Linked DNA regions of Oryzias latipes. The protein of the gene in region 1 interacts with the protein of each later gene in a pairwise test. Links are inferred from orthologs where the notes say so. Each region holds a gene or a part of one and is shown in the gene's direction. Other genes may lie near its edges.

What was found.
Region 2: the proteins of eif1ad (region 1) and signal transducer and activator of transcription 1-alpha/beta interact in binary tests that used the Homo sapiens proteins (3 or more experiments, as listed by UniProt). The two-hybrid records come from large-scale screens. The link is inferred for Oryzias latipes from reciprocal best matches to the Homo sapiens genes EIF1AD and STAT1.
Region 3: the proteins of eif1ad (region 1) and glyr1 interact in binary tests that used the Homo sapiens proteins (3 or more experiments, as listed by UniProt). The two-hybrid records come from large-scale screens. The link is inferred for Oryzias latipes from reciprocal best matches to the Homo sapiens genes EIF1AD and GLYR1.

The regions. Positions count from the first base shown.
Region 1 is NC_019868.2:26,090,945-26,095,273, forward strand, and holds eif1ad (probable RNA-binding protein EIF1AD), read left to right. Parts: upstream 1-1,506; 5' UTR 1,507-1,667; intron 1,668-2,131; 5' UTR 2,132-2,163; coding exon 2,164-2,250; intron 2,251-2,372; coding exon 2,373-2,481; intron 2,482-3,287; coding exon 3,288-3,396; intron 3,397-3,464; coding exon 3,465-3,678; 3' UTR 3,679-4,043; downstream 4,044-4,329.
Region 2 is NC_019860.2:3,984,218-3,987,795, reverse strand, and holds part of signal transducer and activator of transcription 1-alpha/beta, read left to right. Parts: coding exon 1-96; intron 97-1,592; coding exon 1,593-1,781; intron 1,782-1,856; coding exon 1,857-1,932; intron 1,933-2,010; coding exon 2,011-2,107; intron 2,108-2,553; coding exon 2,554-2,592; intron 2,593-3,578. UniProt on the Homo sapiens protein: Signal transducer and transcription activator that mediates cellular responses to interferons (IFNs), cytokine KITLG/SCF and other cytokines and other growth factors.
Region 3 is NC_019866.2:25,324,992-25,328,569, reverse strand, and holds part of glyr1 (putative oxidoreductase GLYR1), read left to right. Parts: intron 1-301; coding exon 302-355; intron 356-1,059; coding exon 1,060-1,110; intron 1,111-1,742; coding exon 1,743-1,816; intron 1,817-1,895; coding exon 1,896-1,995; intron 1,996-2,472; coding exon 2,473-2,583; intron 2,584-2,662; coding exon 2,663-2,764; intron 2,765-2,837; coding exon 2,838-3,000; intron 3,001-3,122; coding exon 3,123-3,302; intron 3,303-3,438; coding exon 3,439-3,563; intron 3,564-3,578. UniProt on the Homo sapiens protein: Cytokine-like nuclear factor with chromatin gene reader activity involved in chromatin modification and regulation of gene expression. Acts as a nucleosome-destabilizing factor that is recruited to genes during transcriptional activation.

The DNA.
Region 1 (4,329 bases):
TCACCGCTGCTGCTGCTGTTCTGCTCTATCATCTTTACAAAACACATGAAGACTACAATCCAAGACTCCGTTAAACAAAGTTGCACAATTTAACTTCAGACCTCCTCTTCCTTGTCACTTTATCCAGTGAAAACTCCAATTCATCAAGCTTTACAGTATTCTTAAAACAAGCTTTGTGTGCATGATTCATACCAGCAGGTTTCCTCCAGCAATTTATAGAGATGCCGTGTAAAAATGCAGTATTGAGTGTAGTTCATTTTCCACTTGCAGTGACTGAGCCCAAAGCTTGAAGCCTCTTCAGCTTAACTGGAAGTTCTTTGAAGTATTATTGTGTTCCTGAAAGACTAGTACTTTGGTTTTACTGGGGTCTACACAATACTACACACCTGAAATGCAATTTTGACTGCTGTAATGATGAATTATGGGCAAAAACTAAATAAAGAGATTGGAACCATTAATTCTCTTGTGTATGGAAGTTTTTTTCTGGAGCATAATTAAAAATAAAATTCAATACCAGAAATGCATACATGTGTTCACTCCATTATTTAATAAATTGTTATGTAGCTCTTTGACCTTTTTGTGCCTCTGGATATTGAGGTGGTTTTAACTATGACTTTGGTAAACTATTGTAGGGATTTCAGTGATTTCCTATATTAAACCCTTGTGCTATTCTATGACCCCAGTTTTACTTTGATGTGTTCTCCCTACTATGACAAAAGTGGATGAAGGTGAAGAGGATTTCTTGTAATCCATGGACACCAGTGAAGATCACAAATCATTGAAGAAAAAAGGTTCAGAGAAGTGTCTAGTGGGTCTAGATGACCCAACTCCCAACGTTAAAGTGCCTAGCATAGCACAAGGGTTACATGGTACTTGATAAACTTTAGCATAAGTCTTTCCACACTTTAAGGGGAATCCTGGACTAAATCAACAATCCAGTTGGAGAGTATCTGCAATGGGAATGATTCCATATACACACATATATATATCTATATAGATATATATATGTGTGTATATGGAATCATTCCCATTGCAGATAGATATAGATATAGATATAGATATATCTATATAGATATATAGATATATATATATATAAAAGGCGAAAACCTCAGTTTTATATATATATAGAGAGAGAGGGAGAGTGTTTACGCTTTTTCAGTCTACAATGGTGAATTTTTACCTAGAAAAGACATTAATTTGGCACATCTGAATTTGTCATGTTGGTGATCTTGAACGTTACTCATGGCCTAAAAACTACATTTCCTACAGGTCATGGCAAGACTTCAGGAAGTAATCATTGGTGTTTCAGAAGAAACATGTTTGAACAAAACCAAAAAAAAAAGTTTAAAAAAATGTTGGTGACATTTGTGATATGTGGAGGATTATACTCATTCTTATTTACAAGAAACAAGCATTAATGGGGTTTTATCATTCCTTTTAAAGGCACTACTATTTAAAGTGAACAAAACAGGTTCTTTTATTTTGAACACACAAACAGTGATACCGGAAGTGTTTGGTTACTTCCACCGTGTTTTTACTAACAACCGCACGCGACTCTAAACGGCTAAAACTTCTGTTCAAGTCCTAATATTTCTGCTCCGTTTTTATTCAGTTTTTCTTTTGCCGGTTCAAATCCTACTTTGAAAGAATATTATCTATTTTCCAAGGTAAATAAACCGACGAACGAAAAAAAGTTACGGTCTAATGTTTGCTTACACAGCTAAGTCGTTAGCATTATTGATTTAAATTTCGAATGTCAATATATATATTGTATATATAGCTTAAAGGAAAAACAAATATTTGGTAACTTGCACAATGATAATAATAATGCTTTTCCCCTTACCAATTATGTAAGTTTCGTCCTTATGGGTTGGAAATGGGTTTTGAGATATTTCTGTCCGTGCTAGTGCTAGCTTTGCTAATTTTTGGTGGACATTTGATTTGACATGCGCACAACGATCCCCCTCACCTCGGAAAGTATTAACTCTTTTGTATTTAAATGAAGCAAACTTTATTTTAACCTCAGACTATACATCGTGTCGCATACAAAAAAAACAAAAAGCATCTTAACTTGAACTTTGAATACTAAAAATTCAATTTTTAAGTTTTTTTTGTCTTTTCTTTGTGTTAGCTGGCGACCAAAGCACCACTTGACTGTCTATAATGTCCCAGGCCACCAAACGCAAACATGTTGTCAAGGAAGTTCTTGGAGATTTTGTCACACCGACAGAAAACCAGCAGATTGTAAAGGTGAACTCAGTGTTTTGCAGAATACTGTCCTAATAATTAAAGATCAACAGGAATGTAAAAAAATGTTAACAATCTTACAAAAACTTCCTCCTTCCCTTTTTTCATCCACTGCACATCCTCAGGTTGTTGGAAGTCGAGGCAACAATCTGCACGAAGCAGTCACGGCTCAGGGGGAGACTTTCCTGGTGAGCATGCCCACCAAGTTCCGGAAAAACATCTGGATCAAGAGAGGTACGGGATTATAAAACGGTTACTATTCCTGATGTTTATAGATGTACATGCCTGAAACTGCTCTAAAAAAGGTTTTGGGAGAGAAAGACGTGTTTGGTTTGACTTAAGGCTGAAAGACAAGCAACTACACATTGTCGATTTACTGTATACATTTAGGAGGGGCTGTTGGAGAGCAAACCAACCTCATAACATGGAAGTCTTGGATTCAATTCCCTGGTTTTAAGACCTATTGTCTGTTGAGGCAACACCATTCGAACATTAGAACTGTGCATAAAACTGATTGGATTTCAGGCTAGAAGGAAGATATGCCAATGCAAGAACATTTTCAGATTTATAAAAACGATGTTCAGGTATTTCAAACCTAAATATCTGGACATCATTTTGGTTTAAGGGGGGTTTGTGCACATCAACTATCAGCACATTTTTGGAAACACTCTTGTCTGGAATTGTTCCACTTGCATTTAACTTTTAGATTTTCTAATAAAGCTTTTTAAATTATGATCACAAATTAATTTTGCCTACATTTTTTATTTTTTTTATTTTTATTTATTCAGCAAACTGTATTCATGTAAAAATTACAGTACAACAGTTTTTCCTCATCTAAAAAAACTACATATTTTAGCCACAACTCTTAAAAGTATATTATAACCTTTAAATCTAAATTAATTTAATTTCTTGTTTAATTTAGACGAACAGGTAATGAAATTCTGAAGTTAGATCAGCAAAAACTGGTCATAGAAATCAATTATTCTGTCATTTTTATAAATACGTTTTCTTGGGGTTTGTGTTTTTGGCTCGACTTTCAGGCGATTTCGTGATTGTGGATCCCATCGAGGAGGGAGAGAAGGTGAAGGCGGAGATCAGCTTCATCCTCTACAAAGATCACATTCAGAACCTTCAGAAACAGCAGCTTTGGTGAGTTTGAAGACACAAGGACGTGTGCGTCGCTTCGGGCTCTCATGCTTCTCTCTGCTCCCCTCCAGGCCTGAGGGCTTCACGGAGAAGCTGCCACACAATAACGAAAACACGCGTCAGGAGGACGCGGAGACAAAACATGAGGAAGAGGAAGGATGCAGCTCCGAGGAGGACGACAGCGACCTTTTTGTAAACACAAACCGATGTAACTACCAGTACAGCGAGAGCGAGGAGGACGACACTGATGAAGAGGACAAACCAGTGACTGAAAATGGTTCTTAGCTGCAGCGATGAAGGTCGATGGAGAACTGATAATTACCACAGACTGACTGAATCTAGGAAGATTTCAAATGTTGGCTTCTGTGCAGCAGCTCCCCCTGCTGGTCAGATTGTTGGCGAGTTGATCTCATTCAGTGAACTTTATGAAACCTTATGTATGGTTTCCACATGAAGCGGTCTCTATGTGATCATAGAAACTCAGCAAGAATCCAGATGAGATAATTTCAGCTGTTTTCCTCACATTCCTGCTTTTCTTCTTCAGCAAATCTCCTATGGAGCCATGTTTCTATGACAAACAGGAAATCTTTGCTGACGGTTCTCGTATTTTCTCTAATGGAATCAAATAAATGCTATTTGTTAAAAAATTATGTTTAATCATTGGATTGGATTTGTTATGTTTGATTTTGGTTGCGTTCTGATTATTTAATGAGAAGCCATAAACAGTATTAGACAGTTGGACTGAGTAACTCTTCCTCCCTCGCGTTCCAAACAGGAAGTACCTGCTGGCACCGAGAAGCCAATTTTTAGGACATAAAAAATATGACTCATGACATTTGTAATTATTCTTCAACAGCTAAGCTGTTGGTGTCATTCTTTAAAAATGTCAGGCTTCCTTATTGAGTGACATTTATAGACTGAAGACTTCATATCTTC
Region 2 (3,578 bases), on another chromosome or scaffold:
TGAGCGGCAAATGTCCGGGAACCTTCCTGCTGCGCTTCAGCGAGAGCAGCCGGGACGGCGCCATCACCTTCACCTGGATCGAGCACGACATCCACGGTGAGCGCCGCAGTCACAGAACCTCACGCGACCACCAGCAAGATGAGACAGGCTGCAGGTTTAAGGAGTTTTAGCCTTCATTTTCATTCTCCCGTTTCCAAACAAGTGAACGAAGCTTCAATCTGTCAAATATGTGTTGACCGCTAGCAACTTTAGCATTCTTTGACCCTGACAGGATTTCTTTAACAAGAAAAACATTCATGTTTTTAATTTTTGACATACAGTAATCAGTTCACTTATCAGATTAAATGTTTTGCAGTCAAGAGGCAAAAGAAAAACCAAACAAACACATTTTCTAGCTGTAGTGGTTGTTTTTGGAAGTAGCATTTCATTTAGCATAGCTAGCTTTGTTCAAAATGAATTAGCTTTCTTTAAGCTACAGAAATGTAACATTTCTTATTTGAGGTATTTAAACTTTATTTTGGCTTAATGATAAAATAGCATAATTAGCTTTTCTATTATTAGTCTTTTTTATTTTTTGTCAGATTTTTATTTTTATTATGTTGAAATATTTCAAGCTAGGTTAGCATTCAGCTTTCACGTGACATTTTTACTACTGTTTAGGATTTAAATGTTGCCACTATACACAATTTACATGACTTTTTATACCATTAATGAGTTAAATTAGAATTTAATATTTTCTTTATTGCTTTTTCCCCGATTAGCTGTTAGTCTATGTTAGCTGTGGTTTCTTTCTGATAGAGAGAGAGATGTACACTACTTTAATAATTCACATTAAAATAAAGACACACTTTACATGAAAATAAAATAAAATAAAGGCATAGATAGATAGATAGATAGATAGATAGATAGATGCATACATTTTTTAGTATTTTTTATTGTTTTTTTTTAGTCAAACTTCTTAAAGATTATGTTTAGCCTAAAAGGCAGGTTTTTTTAAAACAGGTTAAGCTAATTTAGCATTTGGCTAATCTGTAGCATCAATTGTTCTTGAGCATTTTACAGCTTTTTTGAAAAAAAATTCTTCTGTATTTTTTTTAGCTTGATGAAAATATAGCATCATTAACTTTTCTGTTATAAGTTTTTTAAGTTTTAGCAAAGTTTTTTTTTTTTAACACTATCCCACGTAGACTTTATTTGAATATTTAAACACGATGAGGGTAAAGAGGTTTTAAGGTTCTTTATTTATGTTTGTTACAATTAGTGGTTAGCCTGTGTTAGCAGGCGTGCTGTTACCTATGCTAATACCCTACAAGTTGCAGGTTGAATCGCAGGTGCTGAACAATATGGATGTGTAAAGAGACCGAGCTAAAGTAACACATTGTTTAGTAAATAACATCCAAGAAGGTTCTCAAGTCACCTGCATTTGAAAACACCTCCCACATCATTATACCACCACCACCAGCCTAAAACATTGATATAAGCATGATGGATCCCCACTTTTGAGTTTTACATGAAATTCTGGCCCAAACACCTACAAGTTAAGGTGGAATCAGGCGATTCTTTAGTTTATCCGTTTTCTTCCGTCCCTCCAGACAAGCCGATTTTCCACTCCGTTGAGCCGTACACCAAGAAGGAGCTGACTGCTGTTTCGCTGCCCGACATCATTCGCACCTACAAGGTGATGGCGGCCGAGAACATTCCAGAGAACCCGCTGCGCTTCCTCTACCCCGCCATCCCCAAAGACAAGGCTTTTGGGAAATACTACCCCAAACCCCCAGAGCGTAAGACACGCTAGCGGATCCGTCGCGCCCTCATTTCTGAGCGCAGACTTTCACGTCTGTCCCTTCCTCTTTTAGCTCAAGAGCCCATGGACGTGGAGAGCTCGCAGCCCAGTGGCTACATGAAGACAGAGCTCATATCCGTTTCAGAAGTGTAAGCGCCGACTGCAAACGCCTTCAGAAGTTACTGACACACGTGCTTCTAACAAACCGCTTCCTCCACCTGGTTCAGACCGCCGTCCAGGCTGCAAGACAACATCATGCCCATGTCTCCGGACGACTACAAGGCACTGGAGCAGTTTGTGGGCCACAGAGACATCGATGCTGTGGTAAGACAAGATACACATCCAGTTCTGTTCACAGTAAGAACGATAAACCCACCACATTATTATTATTTTCATCCCTAAACTGCTTCAAAAGTGCAGAAATTTCTCCTTTCACGTCAATGGATTTTCAAAATAAAAGCTTTTAACGTTTGATGAACACTGTAGGAAAATAGCATTTTGTGGTTTAAAAAAATCACTGTCCAAACAAAACAAAAAAAACTTAAAACACAAATTCTTTCCCATAGAAAAAGGGACCCCAATTTGCTAAAAAGTCACCAGTATAAATAGCATTTTAAGATTTGCAGATAAAGTACTGTTTAGTATTTGAAAATATGGACTAAAAGAGGAAGAAAGATGAAAAAAGTGTTAAGAAAATCACGTTTTTTTTAATGATTCTTAGTCTGTTCAACTGCAAACTTTCTGTCTTTCTCTCCTTGTCGCGCTCTCAGACCAACAATCTGATGGACTTTGGAGGGTTTGACGCTCAGGTACACCCCCAGAGTTGATGGTTCACTCCTTGTACTAACTGTCAGACTCCTTGCACTCCTTTATTTATTAGCATGCCTCTCTAGTTTAGTCAATGCACGGCATTAATGCATGACGCACAATATTTGCTAGTTTGTTGATTTATCCATCTGATCAGAAATGAGAGGATGGGCTCAATTTCTGTAGCTGTTCTAGGAATTTCCAAAGCAATAACCAACGTTAAGTTGAAGCTGCCTGAAATAAAGAAAAAAAAACAATATTCCTGTATTAATGTAAAAAAATATCTGTTGCAGACCTAAAGCAACCCTGATCTGTCTCCTTGCTAGCATGGCCTGCGCTAAAAATGAAACGCAATAAAAATGAGTATTTAGACAAAAAATACCTGTTAGTAATACAAAAAATATTCAATCTTTAAAAAGAAGATAAACATAAGAACAGATTAAAGGCTCCAGATTATGGGTAAATGCTAGAATTGAGGGTGAAAATATATTAATATTAATGAAGAGAACAACGGCTTTGCGCAACACTTGACCAACGTAAAGTAACAGAAAGTCGCTTCCCTCTTCGTGAATCCATCGTAATTACGTTATTTGTGTAAACAGTCAAAAACGTTATCATAGTTCGTTTAGGTGTCGTTTAGGGTCAGATGTTACTCTAGCCTTGACGTTCTTTGAACTACCGTACCTGGCGCTGATATGCGGCATTTTACAGTATTGTAGCCTTTACGCAATTACCGTAAACCAGCTAATTCTGACGCGGAAAATGTTTTGCGTTGTTTATGCAGACGTTTATTTCTTTATGTCGCATATCAGCATAAAGCCTCTTTTTATCCATTGGAATTACGATAATTGTGTAAATGGTTGCAGTAGTTCATAGAACGTGTTATTTTGCTGTCGGCAGAGTTAAAATGCTAAAATTACGAGATTTAAAGCTAAGTGCTAAACTAGATACAAATATTTTATTTTGGACAAAACATTAGCGAAACGCT
Region 3 (3,578 bases), on another chromosome or scaffold:
GTTGTTTTTATTTCAGTTCACTTTACAAAACCCCCGATATGGACCTTTACTAATGTACAAAATGTCTATTTTGTCCCAAAAAAGAAGGCAGAGCTGTAGATGTTTTAGGGCCCCCCAAAGGCCCTGACAGTCGGTGGACAGCAGGCTGACACCCCCCAACACACCTGCAGGTGGAAACGTTGAAATGGGTTTGTTGGGGCCCTCCTACCCCAGACTGCAGCCTTCTGTCAAAGCAGGTGTTTGGATGGGAACTAGCCCTGCTCCAACACCAGCCATTAACACTCCTCTTGTTGTGTTGCAGCCAGTCAAAGATGACCCACATTTTCATCATTTCCTGCTCAGCCAGTCAGAGAAGGTAAGAATCCCATTAAGAGGAGCGGGATGGGGGTGTGGCTTTTTTCCTGCCTTCCAGAGAGGGGAGGGGGTTTAGGAACTGCTTACATGGTGGGACTGAGGGTTAGAAAACGTCTTCATACATGGATGGTGAGATCACTTCTTCTGGCTCGTCAGCGCCGCGTGGGGACCGCTGACCTTCGTCGTCATGGTTACTCGTTGGACTCTCCAGTCCAGCTTCTGGTTTCGTCTGCTTGAAGCACAAACGAGTTATTTTCTTCCCCAACATTGACGGGTTTCTCTGACATGAATGGATCTCATCAGTGCACGCTAAGGCTGTCATGCGTGACGCTAAAACGAATTGTCCTCCACAATGTGGGGGTTATGGAGCAGAATTTTGGGTTGTTTTTATGAACAATCCAGACAAATGTGACAAAAAATGTTCAGGTCAGTCTGTTAAAAACTGTTTATCTGTGGGATTTCTCCCCGATTGGTTGTTTTAGTGGCGGCGTTATCTGCTGTCATCCGTTGGACTCCTGCACTCTCTAGCGTGTGCAGTAGGTCACGCGTGTCGGTGCAGATATTCAGAGGTGACCTTTTGCTTGTGCTTATGACCTGAACAGTGAAGTTGTGGATCCCATGGTGGATCTGTCACTGATTGGTTACCAGCTGGTTAGTCAGACCTGAGAGGCTCACCTGCTCACCACCTGTGCTTTGTGTCCACAGCCAGCCTCTTCCATGGAGCCCATAAGCAAACGCCTGAAGATCATTGAAGAGGTCAGTCAACTTCTTCCTTGGGGGAGCCGTTTTTCTCCCATGGGGCTTTTTTTATTAAATGTTTTTAATAAAAATACCTCTGAAAAGGCCTCAGACACCCAAACAAATGAACTAAAACTACAACTGAGTGTTTCTTTATTCAAATCGTGGGGAATCAGGACTACAATTGTGAAAGATTGTGGTTGTTTTGTACAAACTACAGTCTGCAGGTCAGTCTCCAAGCTCCGCCCCTTTCTGACCATCCACCTGCAGACCAACAGATCCATGAGCGTCTGTGTTTTCCTGGTCTGAACTGGAGTCTGGATCAGAACTGGACGGATGGACGGATCTGATGTTGCTGCTGATTCTGTTGCTACGCTAATGTTAGGATGGGGAGGGGCAGGGGGGGGGGGGCAGTGGGAACAAGGGGATGATGGAAATAAACCGGAGGCTTACGTCCACGCCAACAGCCCTGCCCACTGCTTGATGGTGAGTTTCTTAGGAACTGCTGCCGCTCTGCAGAAACTATGTCCCAGTCCCCTGATTCTCAGAGGAACCAAAAGGCAGCGAGAAGCGTTCTGAGGACTCTGATGTTCTGGATCAGGACTGTGTTGGGGTGTCACTGCAGCTGATGCAGAGTGTTTGTGACGCAGGTCACAGGCTCCACATCCATTCAAGCAGCAGACAGCACAGCCATTAACGGGAGCATCACCCCCACCGATAAGAGGTGAGGACAGCCCGCTGCGCTCTGGCACCACCGTCTGAGTGTGTTGTAATGGTTGCTCTCTGTGAATTGTGTCTCGTAGGATAGGTTTCTTGGGTCTGGGGCTCATGGGCAGTGGCATCGTTTCCAACCTGTTAAAAATGGGTCACGTTGTGACCGTGTGGAACCGCACCGCCGAAAAGGTACCGTCTTCTTCAGACGCCCTGTTTTGTGTGTGTTTGATGAAAACTGCAGCTAACGTCACAGAAACGTCTATAGAACAGCCGTTTTTCTGTTCCACCGTAGCACTAGATCTGATCTGTTCCGGGTAGATGTGGAACGTTTCCACTCACTAGCTCTGCTTCAGGACTCCTGATCTGGTGCAAACATTTCTCCGGCCCTTTGAGTGGCTTTCCTTCACCTGTTGGTGCCTGCAGGTGATCTTGAATGAAGCTTGTTTTCTAGTTCAGTAGTAGCACGGCTCCGCTCTGCAGGTGAATAAACGGCGGGTCTTTAGCTCTCTACCGTCATTCAGGTCCCTGTCATTCTTCCTGTAGACTCCGCTTACCAGGTGCCTTCATGTCCCGCCAGTTTAGAGGAGCGGCTAAAAGTCAGGCCTTTCTGTGACGCTACCAGAAAAGTACCGTCTGACCAAACTCCACTTGTTTTTTTTTTCCCAGTGTGACCTGTTCATCCAGGAGGGGGCCAGGTTAGGCAGAACCCCGGCAGAAGTGGCTTCCATGTGTGACATCACCTTCTCTTGTGTCTCTGACCCAAAGGCTGCTAGAGACGTGAGCATCTTCTCTGTAGAAACAGACGGCTGTCACTGCGGCAGCGTCAGGTCTGACCAAAGCTCCTGTTTGTTGTCAGCTGGTGCTAGGACCCAGCGGAGTCCTGCAGGGAATCAGGCCGGGCAAATGCTACATCGAGATGTCCACCGTGGACCCGGAGACCATCACAGAGCTGTCCCAGGTGTGCCTTCTGCACGCTGAAGCTGCTCGGGTGGGCGCCTCCGCAGCCGCTGAACTCTGTCTTTGAACGGCAGGTGATCACGTCGCGAGGCGGACGCTTTCTGGAAGCTCCGGTGGCAGGAAGCCAGCAGCTCTCAAACGACGGCATGCTGGTCATCCTGGCTGCAGGCGACCGGACCGTGTACGAGGACTGCAGCAGCTGTTTTCAGGCCATGGGCAAAACCTCCTTCTTTCTTGGTAACTAAGAATAGAGAATAGTTGTCACACAGACTGGTGTTTCTGCCCCCTGTGAGGGTATATCCAGGTGGTTTGGGGCGATCTTCATGCAGGTCCTGTTCTCACGTAGTCTCTGTCGTCAGGTGAAGCAGGAAACGCAGCGAGAATGATGCTGATCCTCAACATGGTGCAGGGCAGTTTCATGGCCACCATTGCAGAGGGCTTAACTCTAGCCCAAGCAACGGGCCAATCACAGCAGACCTTCCTGGACATCCTGTGCCAGGGCCAGATGGCCAGCACCTTTGTGGACCAGAAGTGCCAAAGTCAGTAGCTCCACGGTTTGAGGCTTTGATTAAATGTGTTCATGTTGAGTATTGACAGGTCCTTCTGTAACCATAGCAACCGATTTCAGGAAGTTCAAACTGAAAGCTTTAGGCTCACGGTTCTGTCCTCTGCCAGATATCCTGCAGGGCAACTTCAAGCCAGACTACTACCTGAAGCACATTCAGAAGGACCTGAGGTTGGCCATCTCCATGGGCGACATGGCCAACCACCCAACCCCCATGGCTGCAGCCGCCAACGAGGTACGTTCTGCCGCC